Saccharomyces cerevisiae S288C: one gene and its partner. The protein of the gene in region 1 purifies or fractionates together with the protein of each later gene. This does not show direct contact. Each region holds a gene or a part of one and is shown on either strand. Other genes may lie near its edges.

Evidence for each region. Proteins that work in one complex are often made in the same cells at the same time.
Region 2: the proteins of LUC7 (region 1) and SNP1 purify together in Saccharomyces cerevisiae (affinity purification with mass spectrometry; 5 studies listed by BioGRID). This does not show direct contact.

The regions. Positions count from the first base shown.
Region 1 is NC_001136.10:298,206-305,005, forward strand, and holds LUC7 (Luc7p), read right to left. Parts: upstream 2,795-6,800; coding exon 2,009-2,794; downstream 1-2,008. Other genes in the region: NUR1 (Nur1p), read left to right, coding at 1-69; FG-nucleoporin ASM4, read right to left, coding at 212-1,798; YDL086W (carboxymethylenebutenolidase), read left to right, coding at 3,208-4,029; YDL085C-A (uncharacterized protein), read right to left, coding at 4,259-4,465; NADH-ubiquinone reductase (H(+)-translocating) NDE2, read left to right, coding at 5,006-6,643. UniProt on the Saccharomyces cerevisiae protein: Component of the U1 snRNP particle, which recognizes and binds the 5'-splice site of pre-mRNA. Together with other non-snRNP factors, U1 snRNP forms the spliceosomal commitment complex, that targets pre-mRNA to the splicing pathway.
Region 2 is NC_001141.2:243,618-248,222, forward strand, and holds SNP1 (U1 snRNP complex subunit SNP1), read right to left. Parts: upstream 1,943-4,605; coding exon 1,040-1,942; downstream 1-1,039. Other genes in the region: YRB2 (Yrb2p), read right to left, coding at 1-127; ARC15 (Arc15p), read right to left, coding at 381-845; YIL060W (uncharacterized protein), read left to right, coding at 2,775-3,209; YIL059C (uncharacterized protein), read right to left, coding at 2,933-3,298; RGI2 (Rgi2p), read right to left, coding at 4,285-4,605. UniProt on the Saccharomyces cerevisiae protein: Involved in nuclear mRNA splicing.

The sequences.
Region 1 (6,800 bases):
TTGAATAAGAATGATATTAATTCCATTCTTCGCTCTCCAAAGAAAAAGAAGAACTATCACAAAAGATAACGTTTCTTAATTATGTCTAAGTATATACAGTTACGTAAAAATCAATAAACAAAAGTAAAACAATGCTGTTTGAAAAGTTATCAAAATAATAAATGTATGAAGTATTGTAAATGTTCATGAATAATTAGCTGGACGATTTCTGTTATAGGTCATTCCAACCAAATAACCAATTACTCAGTTTGTGCGTAAAACCAGCAGGTTCATTATTTCTGTATTTCGCTTCTTGCTGACGCATTTTCGATTCTAGGTTTCGCAACAGATTAGGAATATTCGAATTCGGTCCTGCATTTTGCATGAATGGCAATTTGCCATCTATTACATCCAGCCGCTTATTCGGAGAATTTGCTACTATTGGACTTGAAATATTTGTTGGATTACCAGCATGACCGGCAGGAGTATTATCGTCTTCCCTCAGAAGAGTGCCATCAGTTATTATTACGTTTGGTGGGGATGGTGTATTAGATGTCGACGATGTGGAGGAATTTTGATACATAGAAACGTTGAATTCTCCAATGTCGTCGACATTATCAATTTTGCAGCCAGCTAATTGCTCCACCGCATTTTTTGAATATGGGATGCAACCAATCAAAGAACCGCGAAATATGGTTCCATTTTCCTGCAGTGCTCTCAAAGCAGAAGATGGAGAATTATAAGTGAGTTTGACCCAACTTTCACCAGTAAATATTGGATATTTTTTGTTATTCGACTCATTATTTCTGCCTTTTAAAGTAATAGATTTATTAACAGTAGAATCGTTTTCATCACAGCCTGTATCATGATTATGGAATATTCTGAAGGTGTTGGGGTTAATCCCGCGACCCAATCGCAATACTTGAAAGTCTTCCATAATATGACCGAAATGGGAGAAGTGTTCAATCAATTCATTGGAAATTGATTCAGGATAGCCAAATACGATAATTGCGCTCAAACTAGAAGACTTGGAAGATGTTTCATGGACTTTATTGTTTGTTTCGGCGGTGTTGTAATTATTATCTAAATGGTTCTGTTCAATGTTTGCTATTCTAACATAAGAGTCTTTATCAAAAACATTTGGAGTATTTTTGGAATCATAAGCTGACCTATTTGTTTTCTTCGCCGTGTATTTGTCGGTAACAAACTGAGTTGTTAATGATGGAATAGAACCGAATTCATCCTCGCGTTGCCAATCCTGTAAAGTAACGGAGGGTGGAATATCGTTAAAATTTGACAACAGAGAATTGATGTCATTATTTGCCGCAGACTTATTTCTTTCATTATGCTTGGAATCTTGATTTTGCTTACTGAAATTTCTCATAGTAGCGTTCATAGAAGATGAATCATCATTCTGGTTGATGTCAGAAGAAGAATTTTGCTTTGTTGTCTTCCTTCTTATCACCGTATGAGGAGTGAATCTCTTTTTAGGATTATTCACCCAGCTAGGATTATTCCCTTGGCCATGTTGGCTTATGTTATTTGTGCCGTTTTTAATGTTGTTGTTGTTGATGCTATTGTTACCGATATTACTACTATAGTTATTGGCGTTTACAGTATTGGAAAGTGAGTTTCCAAATCGTAAAGAACTTGCATCGGATGATCCATTGAATTGCAAGTGTTGCTGCTGTTGTTGTGGTTGCGGTTGCGGTTGTGGCTGCAACTGTGATTGCGATTGAAACATCTGGGTTGTCTGTGGTGCTTGCGACGTGAGGTTAGTAAATCCACCGTTATTATTGCCTGAACGTATTCCAAACATTTTAATTTGCCGTTCCTTGTTTTCAGGTTACAGAGAAAAAAAAAAAAAGAGAGCGAATAAAAAACTTAAATAGATAGGGAAACGATATGTCTACCTTATCGGGAAATAAACTATGCAGAGGTATGTGTGTGATATTCACAAACCTTTCTTCTTTCATAAGTACTCTCCTTCGAACAAAATTTTTCTAGCATCATTTTTTTATGTATGGCCCTACACAAAGCGTCTTCCGGGTAGTGTAGTAGCTGTCTTGCTGGCGTTAGTTGTCCGGTTATTCTTCATTAGCCGATCATAATCCTCTCTCATCTTGACATATCCCAGATGAATCTTCCCCAAGAAGTGGTCAGCAAGCCTTCTGTCTGTATCTAAACGCGATAGGTATGCCCCACACACCTCGCAAACCTGTAACTTTTGCTGGGCGCTCTGGCCCACGTTTTCTGTAATGTTTCGTACACGTTTTGCAACTTCTTTCCTTTTACTAATCAGTTCTTGTAATTTGACTGACTGTAGCATACCCATACTGACTTCATCTGCACGAATTAAAGAATCAATCTCTTGTCCCATTAGGCCTATCCGCACGTCCAAGACATCTAGTTCTTCGGTAACCTGCTGAATCTTCATTCGTTCCTCAGCGGTGTGTTTTAGATTTTGTAGTGCTACGGATATCTGGCCATTACACTCATTAACAAACCGAGATAGAATGGCCAGATATTCTCTTTCGAATTCGGGAAACGTTTTGCCCTGCTTGACCTCTCTCTCGTACTGAATTTTATGCTTGGTAAGATGCATCTGCGGGCATTTTCCCAGGCTCTGCTTGGTGCCCTGAAACAGGTCGTAGGGGCACTCGCCAACAAGGTATGACTTGCAGATCTTGGGATCGTGTAGTCCGAGGTCTCTTTTTTGATGCGAATACCTGTTGTGGCGGAAACTGAAGTCCCTGCCCATCAGCTGTTCGACGAGTTTGCGTTGTTCTGCGGCAGGCGTTGACATAGTTGACATTCTGACGGTAGTTGGCAGCTTTCTGCTGGGAGTGTAGAGCCTTTTGTAGTATAACTTTTTGTTCTTTTCTTTCTTCTCTAATGCCTGAGGCTTCGGCGGTTATTCGGGTAATACATTAAGGAAGTTGCCATGATGTGGAAGAATACGACTAGTCAGTTAGCGATGGCCAGCTCCTTTACCTAAATCATGTGGCCTATCTTCAGATAGCATACTACCACCAACCATCAATACCTCAATGGCTTTCAACAAGTACCCTTCGTCGGGTTTTCAGCTTTTTTCCTACTTTGCTGGATGCTTTGTGAAGATCAGGAAGAAATTTTATCGGAAAAACCTCACTAGGAGAAACTATATAAAAGAAGGGTCAGACTGAAAATGACGCCGTAATAAACTCGTGGTAGTAGATAAAGCAAACAATGTTGATTACTGAGACCTTTCATGATGTGCAGACATCATACGGCACCACTCTGCGTATATACGTATATTCTCCTAAGATTGCAGGCTATCCACAAGCTAAGTTTCCTGGGGTGATTCTGTACAGTGAAATTTACCAAGTGACGGGTCCGGTTCGTCGTTTTGGTCAAAGAATTGCGTCTGAAGGTTACGTTGTGGTGGCACCTGCCATATACCACAACTTTATGGGCCCTGAAGCGTTGCCCTATGACGTGCAGGGTACCGATATTGGTAACGAGTACAAGATCAAGAAGCCGTTAGAATCATACGATGAGGACAACAAACTGTGTTGCGATCTACTTTTCCAGTTACCCCAATTCGATGGTAAGAGAATTGGTTCCACAGGAATGTGTTTAGGTGGCCATTTGGCTTTTAGAGCGCTCCTGGACAAAAGGGTTACCTGCGCAACCTGCTTCTTCCCTACCGACATCCATTCCAGAACCTTAGGTCTTGGCCAGAACGATAACTCTTTGGAACGTGTTTCGAAGGAGTTGGGTAATAACCAAGAAATGGTTTTGATCTTCGGAACTGCGGACACCCATGTCGACCCGCAAGGCCGCGATCTAATCAGAAAGACCCTCAGAGACCACGGAGTAAAGTTTACGTTCTTGGAAATCCTGGCTGCCCAGCATGCGTTCATCCGTGACGAGTTCAGCAAGGGCAGGTTCGACTCCGCTATCACTCAAAGTTGTCTCGGCTTCTTGTTCGAGCAGTTCAACAGAAAATTGAGAATCGATTTGGGTGAATTTGTCGATGACAATACACCTTTGGAGCACGTTTGTTAAGATCTTCACTCTGTACACGCTATATACTAAATAACAATAAGAAAAAGAAAAAGAAGCACAATATAGGAAAGCGTTCTAATTAACTAAAGAAAAAAAAAAAATAAAAAAAAAATAAAAAAAAGGTAACTAAAAAGGACAAAAAACATAACAGCTGTTTATAAAGTACTTTATACGTAAGAAACTACTGGCACTATTCATTCCAATAAAAGGACAGGTATAAAGTGTCTGCTTATCTTCTCGTCTTTTCGGCTTTTAACTTCTCAAGCTTTTCAGCCTCTCTTCTAGCATCTGCGGCGGCCTGCTTTTGTCTCAAGATTTCGGCGTCTGACTCCATTCTTTTCTTAGGATCACCACTCTTTTTCTGGTTCTTAGCCATGTCCTTTTGTTTTTTCAAGTTTTTTTGTCTTGCCAAGTCTCTTTGATTACCTCTAGCCATTGTTAAAGATGTATCGTCTTGCGACGTAATTTGTTGCTCTGTGTAGTATTGATCTTGTTGGTATTGCTAGAAATGCTTCAGCAATACTGTATAAAATATGGAAACGTTGCCATGGCAAGACAAAAGAAGTGATCTTGAGTGAAATAATAGAGCCCGGATGGCCGGGTAAATTCAACCGCTCGTACCGTTTATAATACGCATAAACGCCGAAAATGTCTCTATTTTAGTCATTCCCCAGAGTGCGGTATTGCGTACACCTGTCATGCGTTCCTTAGTGCCGATAGATATACTAATATCGATGCGTCACAGTAGCAGATCATCTCTGACACTTGTTTCCCCATTTTTTTTTTTCATTTTTTAAAGGGTTTCTCTACAGCCTACAGGCCTCCCCTAATAAGTCAGCCCCTCCCTTTGGAGTGCGCTGTTGACCTGCGTATATAAGAGGTATATCAGTGCCAGTAGGTAAACCCATCTTGCGGGGATTGTACCAGGAACATAGTAGAAAGACAAAAACAACCACCGTACTTGCCATTCGTATAGATGCTGCCCAGACTTGGTTTTGCGAGGACTGCTAGGTCCATACACCGTTTCAAGATGACCCAGATCTCTAAACCTTTTTTCCATTCCACTGAAGTTGGTAAGCCCGGACCACAGCAGAAGCTATCGAAATCTTACACTGCGGTATTCAAGAAATGGTTTGTCAGAGGTTTAAAGTTAACCTTTTACACGACGTTGGCCGGCACATTGTATGTGTCATACGAGCTGTACAAAGAATCGAACCCACCCAAACAGGTTCCCCAATCGACCGCTTTTGCTAATGGTTTGAAAAAGAAGGAGCTGGTTATTTTGGGTACAGGCTGGGGCGCCATATCTCTTTTGAAGAAATTAGACACGTCTTTGTATAACGTGACCGTGGTGTCGCCAAGAAGCTTCTTTTTGTTCACACCGTTATTACCCTCAACGCCTGTGGGTACGATAGAGATGAAGTCTATTGTCGAACCGGTTAGATCGATCGCTAGAAGAACGCCTGGAGAAGTTCACTACATTGAGGCGGAAGCGTTGGACGTTGATCCAAAGGCCAAAAAAGTAATGGTGCAATCGGTGTCAGAGGACGAATATTTCGTTTCGAGCTTAAGTTACGATTATCTTGTTGTTAGTGTAGGCGCTAAAACCACTACTTTTAACATTCCCGGGGTCTATGGCAATGCTAACTTCTTGAAAGAGATTGAAGATGCTCAAAATATTCGTATGAAGTTAATGAAAACCATAGAACAGGCAAGTTCATTTCCTGTGAACGATCCGGAAAGGAAGCGATTATTAACGTTCGTGGTTGTTGGAGGGGGCCCTACGGGGGTTGAATTTGCCGCCGAACTGCAAGATTACATCAATCAAGATTTGAGGAAGTGGATGCCCGACTTAAGTAAAGAAATGAAGGTTATCTTAATTGAAGCCCTGCCTAATATCCTAAACATGTTCGATAAGACGTTGATCAAGTATGCCGAGGACCTTTTTGCCAGAGATGAAATTGACTTGCAAGTGAATACTGCCGTGAAAGTCGTAGAGCCAACCTATATACGCACTCTGCAAAACGGCCAAACAAACACGGATATCGAATACGGGATGCTGGTTTGGGCCACGGGAAATGAACCAATCGATTTTTCAAAGACACTGATGAGTAGAATACCGGAGCAAACTAATAGGCGTGGTCTGTTAATTAATGACAAGTTGGAGCTTCTCGGTTCTGAGAATTCGATTTATGCAATTGGTGATTGTACCGCACACACGGGTTTCTTTCCCACGGCACAAGTTGCACATCAGGAAGGCGAATACTTGGCCAAGATCTTGGATAAAAAATTACAGATAGAACAATTGGAATGGGACATGCTCAACAGTACCGATGAAACTGAGGTATCACGTCTACAAAAAGAGGTTAATTTGAGGAAATCTAAGTTGGATAAGTTCAACTACAAGCATATGGGTGCCCTTGCGTACATCGGCTCTGAAACCGCAATTGCAGATTTGCATATGGGCGACTCATCATACCAGTTGAAAGGTATGTTTGCCTTCTTGTTTTGGAAATCCGCTTATTTGGCCATGTGTCTCTCTATCAGGAATAGGATTTTAATTGCCATGGACTGGACCAAAGTTTACTTTCTTGGAAGGGATTCCTCCGTGTAGTCCTTGTTTTATATATTCATTGTTCCAATTCAAATTGTTTACTATCATTTACGTATTATAACCAGTATTTCCCTTTATTGGTCATGGAAGATTCGCGTTACCCTTACTCGTTAACAGTGATATTATTTGTATATGTGATGAAAATTTAAGAAAAAAA
Region 2 (4,605 bases), on another chromosome or scaffold:
GTTCATCCTGATCTTTTTCCCTCGGTCTCTTAGGAGTTCCATCTAGTTTATCGATAGGATTTTCAACTGCAGTTTGTTTCACCTCAGAATTTTCCCTGGCTGCATTGCCACCATTGGTCTCACTCATGCTCTCAAAGTTTATGCGTACTTGTTTTGTGCAAATTGATTTGTTGACATTTTGGTTTGAGTAGCAACTGAGCTTTTTAAAATCCAGGCATTTATATCTTCAACCTCGCCAAACAATGTCAATTTTTTTAAAAAAAAACTCAATACCTACATCACCGCGAAATGCCTGAAGTAAAAGCATATAACAAACGCGACCCTTAAAATTACGTATATATATGTATATTTCTTTATACTAAGTTTTACTGGGCAGAGTATCATACAGTTCTTCTATCCGATATATAATGAACGATAGGTGTGACACCACTGACTTGAGTAATTCTTTCCAGCCACGCAAGCAAGACACCCCCTTGTTTCTGGCCCTGAGGTACGGACATTCCTTTGTAGAGATACTTTACCAGCACGTCCCTCTGAGAATCACTCAAATTTTTGATTACATTACCAATATCGGCTTGCCTGACTTGTGTCAATGCTTCAAGGACGCTCTTAAAATATTGCTCCTTTGTTGGAGCATCTGCACTGTATGGAGGATCGGTTGTGAGTAATTGAACGGCTCCCAAAGAGTCACCACTTGTGGCAAGCGAGCGCAATTGATTCATTCGAGGTTGTAATTCTTGTAATGTGACAGTAGTTTCGTATGGTGGTACCAGATCGGCAGCGGTTAGTCTGCCACTCTCTGGATCAAATGCATCGATGTCAATTCTCCTCCAATCGGCTTCCATTGCTTGATCGTTCGCGTGTGTTGTGTTGAGTCTTCTCTGGTCTCCTTTGCTATAGTATCTTGTGTTAAATGCGGGCTGTTTTTCTCTTATTTTGTTATAGGGGCAAAGTCTGAGAAAGGGAAAAAAGTATCCAAATTAACTGATGTGCGGGTAATCATAGACAACAAGTAGCAGAGTTTAAGTATTACTTATATTCAATAGTCGGGCGCTTCTTTGGGAGCTGGTTGAGACTCTCGAGTCCGTGAGTTTCTAGATTTATATACAGAAGTAACAGCAGCAGTAGGAGTGGCGGCGGAGAGCAATGGCCTGTTTCCACGGTACCTCGCGTCCAATGTGGAACTGCCGTATCTATCAGCGCTATATGCGGAGGAAGAAGTTTCCCTGCGTGGCAGCCTGGGAGCATAATTTCTTTCGGCGGGATTTGATGTACTTGCGCTTGCAAACCTTCCTGGAAGCCTGCTGTCTCTGTTGGAATAGCCTCTGCCTCCTAGGCCGCCGCCCAATCTTCTTGGCTTGAAATATTTAACGGTTCTGCCTCTTTCTATGTCGACTATGCAGATTCTGTCTTTGATTTGGATACCTCTGTGTACTCCAATCTCCTTGAATGCCATTTTACTACTTATTGGGTCTTTGAAAACTATGAAGGCGTAGCCTTTACTCTTCTGGGTTATCTTGTCCTTGACTATCCTAATTTTTTCGATCTCGCCAAACTTAACAAAATACTTTTGCAGTTCAATTTCGTCAAGATCGTATGGTAGCCTCCCAATAAATATCGTTCTGTAGGGATCTGTGTCCTTGATATGAGGGTCAACGTTAGGATTCCAATTTTGTAGTCTCCGGTCTAACAATTGAGCATTTTTGATCTTGGAAAGTTTGATGTCTTCGTATCTTTGGAGATGGTTGTTTGGAGATCCTTCAGGAAACTCCTCCATATAGTGCTTCAAAGAGGTTGATAGTAAGTTTGCAACGCCAGTGATATTTGGATTTGTTTGTCTCTTCGCATATGGGTAATCGGTTGGTCTTTTGTAAGATAAAGGTGGCCTTGGCTTGAAAAGTCTCGACACGTCGTCTGGATACTTGGATAGATTATAATTCATCAAGGTTGAGGTGCCGATTACTTTTTTAAGGTTTCCTTTCGACAGTCGATGACCGTGCTGTGTGTCATTATCTTGCAGTTCTTTTTTTCTTCAGATGCGTTAATTTCCTACGAAGGGCGCATACAATGGTGCTGATGGGATTTATGAGCAAAACAAGTAGGCGAGCAAGACATGAACGAAATTGTAATGAAGCGTACTTCCTTTTCCCTACAACCTTAAAAAGGTCTCACTGATATATCCATTCGCAATAATGACAAGATTTTTGCATGGGACTTCTTTTTTTCTTTTGAATAAGTCGCGTTATAAGGACAAAACATTAAAAAAAAATATGTATTGATTCACTGATTTATATATACAGAAGTAAGTACCGGGGTACCTAAATATACGCATAAAAGTCTCTTTCTTTTTTTTTTTTTTTTTTTTAGCTTCCTACATTTCGTTAATAATATTATATAGATTATATTTATATTTAAGAAAAGTAATATCAGCATATTATGAATAGACAAAAAAGTCTAAGGTCAAGATTTATTAAATGTTAGATTATTAAGATTACAATTAACAACATTTGTTGTTACTTCATAAAATTTCGTTACTTCATAAAAGAACTACAGTCCCCCACTTCTAAATGAGTGGTTGTAGGGGTTCATATACCTCCCATACTGTTGGAATAAAAATCAACTATCATCTACTAACTAGTATTTACGTTACTAGTATATTATCATATACGGTGTTAGAAGATGACGCAAATGATGAGAAATAGTCATCTAAATTAGTGGAAGCTGAAACGCAAGGATTGATAATGTAATAGGATCAATGAATATTAACATATAAAATGATGATAATAATATTTATAGAATTGTGTAGAATTGCAGATTCCCTTTTATGGATTCCTAAATCCTCGAGGAGAACTTCTAGTACATTCTACATACCTAATATTATTGCCTTATTAAAAATGGAATCCCAACAATTATCTCAAAATTCACCAACTCTTCACATACATACCTGCGGTAGCAAGATAGGTACACTTTTTCTACGTTTCACGAAGGTAGCGATAGGTACCTCACTCATTGTAGGTGCGGGGGTAGCGATGGAGGTTTCTGTACCATTACCACCACAGCCACTATACTCACGTAGTGAAGTCCCTAGCGTGGAATTGTGTGGTATCGTTGCTATCTGTCGTTCGCCACCCTCGGTATATCCAACGTGCAGGCCAATATCACTCTCTAAGAAAATCGTATCAGGATTGGTACGGACAAACTCTTCATAGCCTACGTCGAAATCAAATTCTGCTAAAGCTGTGACTGTAGTTAAACCTAAAACCGCGATTATTGCTTGAAAAACTGTGGAGAAATTCATGATGGACGGTCACGTTCAGGGTCTGAGAAAACCACTCATTCCTATGTCCCATGTGGTTGGTTGCAATTTGCTGCTATATATACGACTTGGCTGTAGAGAGATCTACGTAGGATGTGTCCACTATCAAGGGGGGTTTACCAACGTTATCTTCTATTTTAAGTGCTCAAATGAAGGTTGCATTATATCCCTGGCAGTTTTCCCGGCAATTTTGCCGGCCGCTTATAATAGTCATGGTGAAAGGATTGTTGCTTGTTGTGGTTGCAACATGACAGTTGCCTACTAACTAAATAATAATCAAAGTCAGTTTCTCAACAATGGAAAACCTGTTGTGACCTTATCGAAGTAACAACATCGTATAATAATTAATCTGGAAAAAATACCATAGTTACTGCCGATACAGGTCTACGTGACTTACTGACAAACAGACTGAGTGACTACGAGTCCAGAAATTTAGTATACCATATTGTCGCTTCTTCTTATAGCCCAGCTCCAGGTCTGGATACGGTTCTGTATAACTCGTTAAGGTTTAAGTGTCCGGCAATTTTTTTGAAGTTTCATTTCTTCACTCGATGACCAAGCCGTGTGCCATCTTTTCGTTTTCTTTTTTTTCAATGTGTTTAATTATCTACAAAGAGGGCACACACAATAGAGCTGATGAGAACCCATGAGCGAAACAAGTAGAAAAGCAAGACGTAAACGGAATCATGGTGGTGTGTACATTTCTCTTTTTTTATTACACCAAGAAAGCTTAATTGGTACGTATTGTTCGTGATAGTAGCATGAATCTAGCGTGGAATTCTTTTATTTAAGGTCGCGTTGTGACGACAAAACATTAAAAAAACCACATGTGTTGATTTGTAGACTTGTATACACTCCAGTAAGAAGGTGCACACCAAAATACATGCGCATATAAATTATTTTATATAGCATGCTATATTTCGTAAATTCATAAAATTTCGTTAATTCATAAAAACAGCTCCCCAAACTTAGATGAGTGGCTGCAAGGGTTCTGTCTTGTAATCAACATCTACCATTGCGCCATCGTGTTTACATACAACTTCGACAGACACCTTGAATTTCTTGGCGTTCAACTCCGTTTCTTCGCCATAATTCCAAACAATCCGGTCAAAGGATTCCTGCTTTTTCTTATCGTGGAATTTCAATTCTGGCTTGTTGATAGCGGTTTTGATGTCCTTTAGCAGGTGCTTCTCAACATGCTGGTGTAAATGGCGAACAAACTTCTTAGAGTGCGAATTGGCAGTCTCTTTGATCTTTTCCGGATCATCATGCGCATCATGCAGGACAAA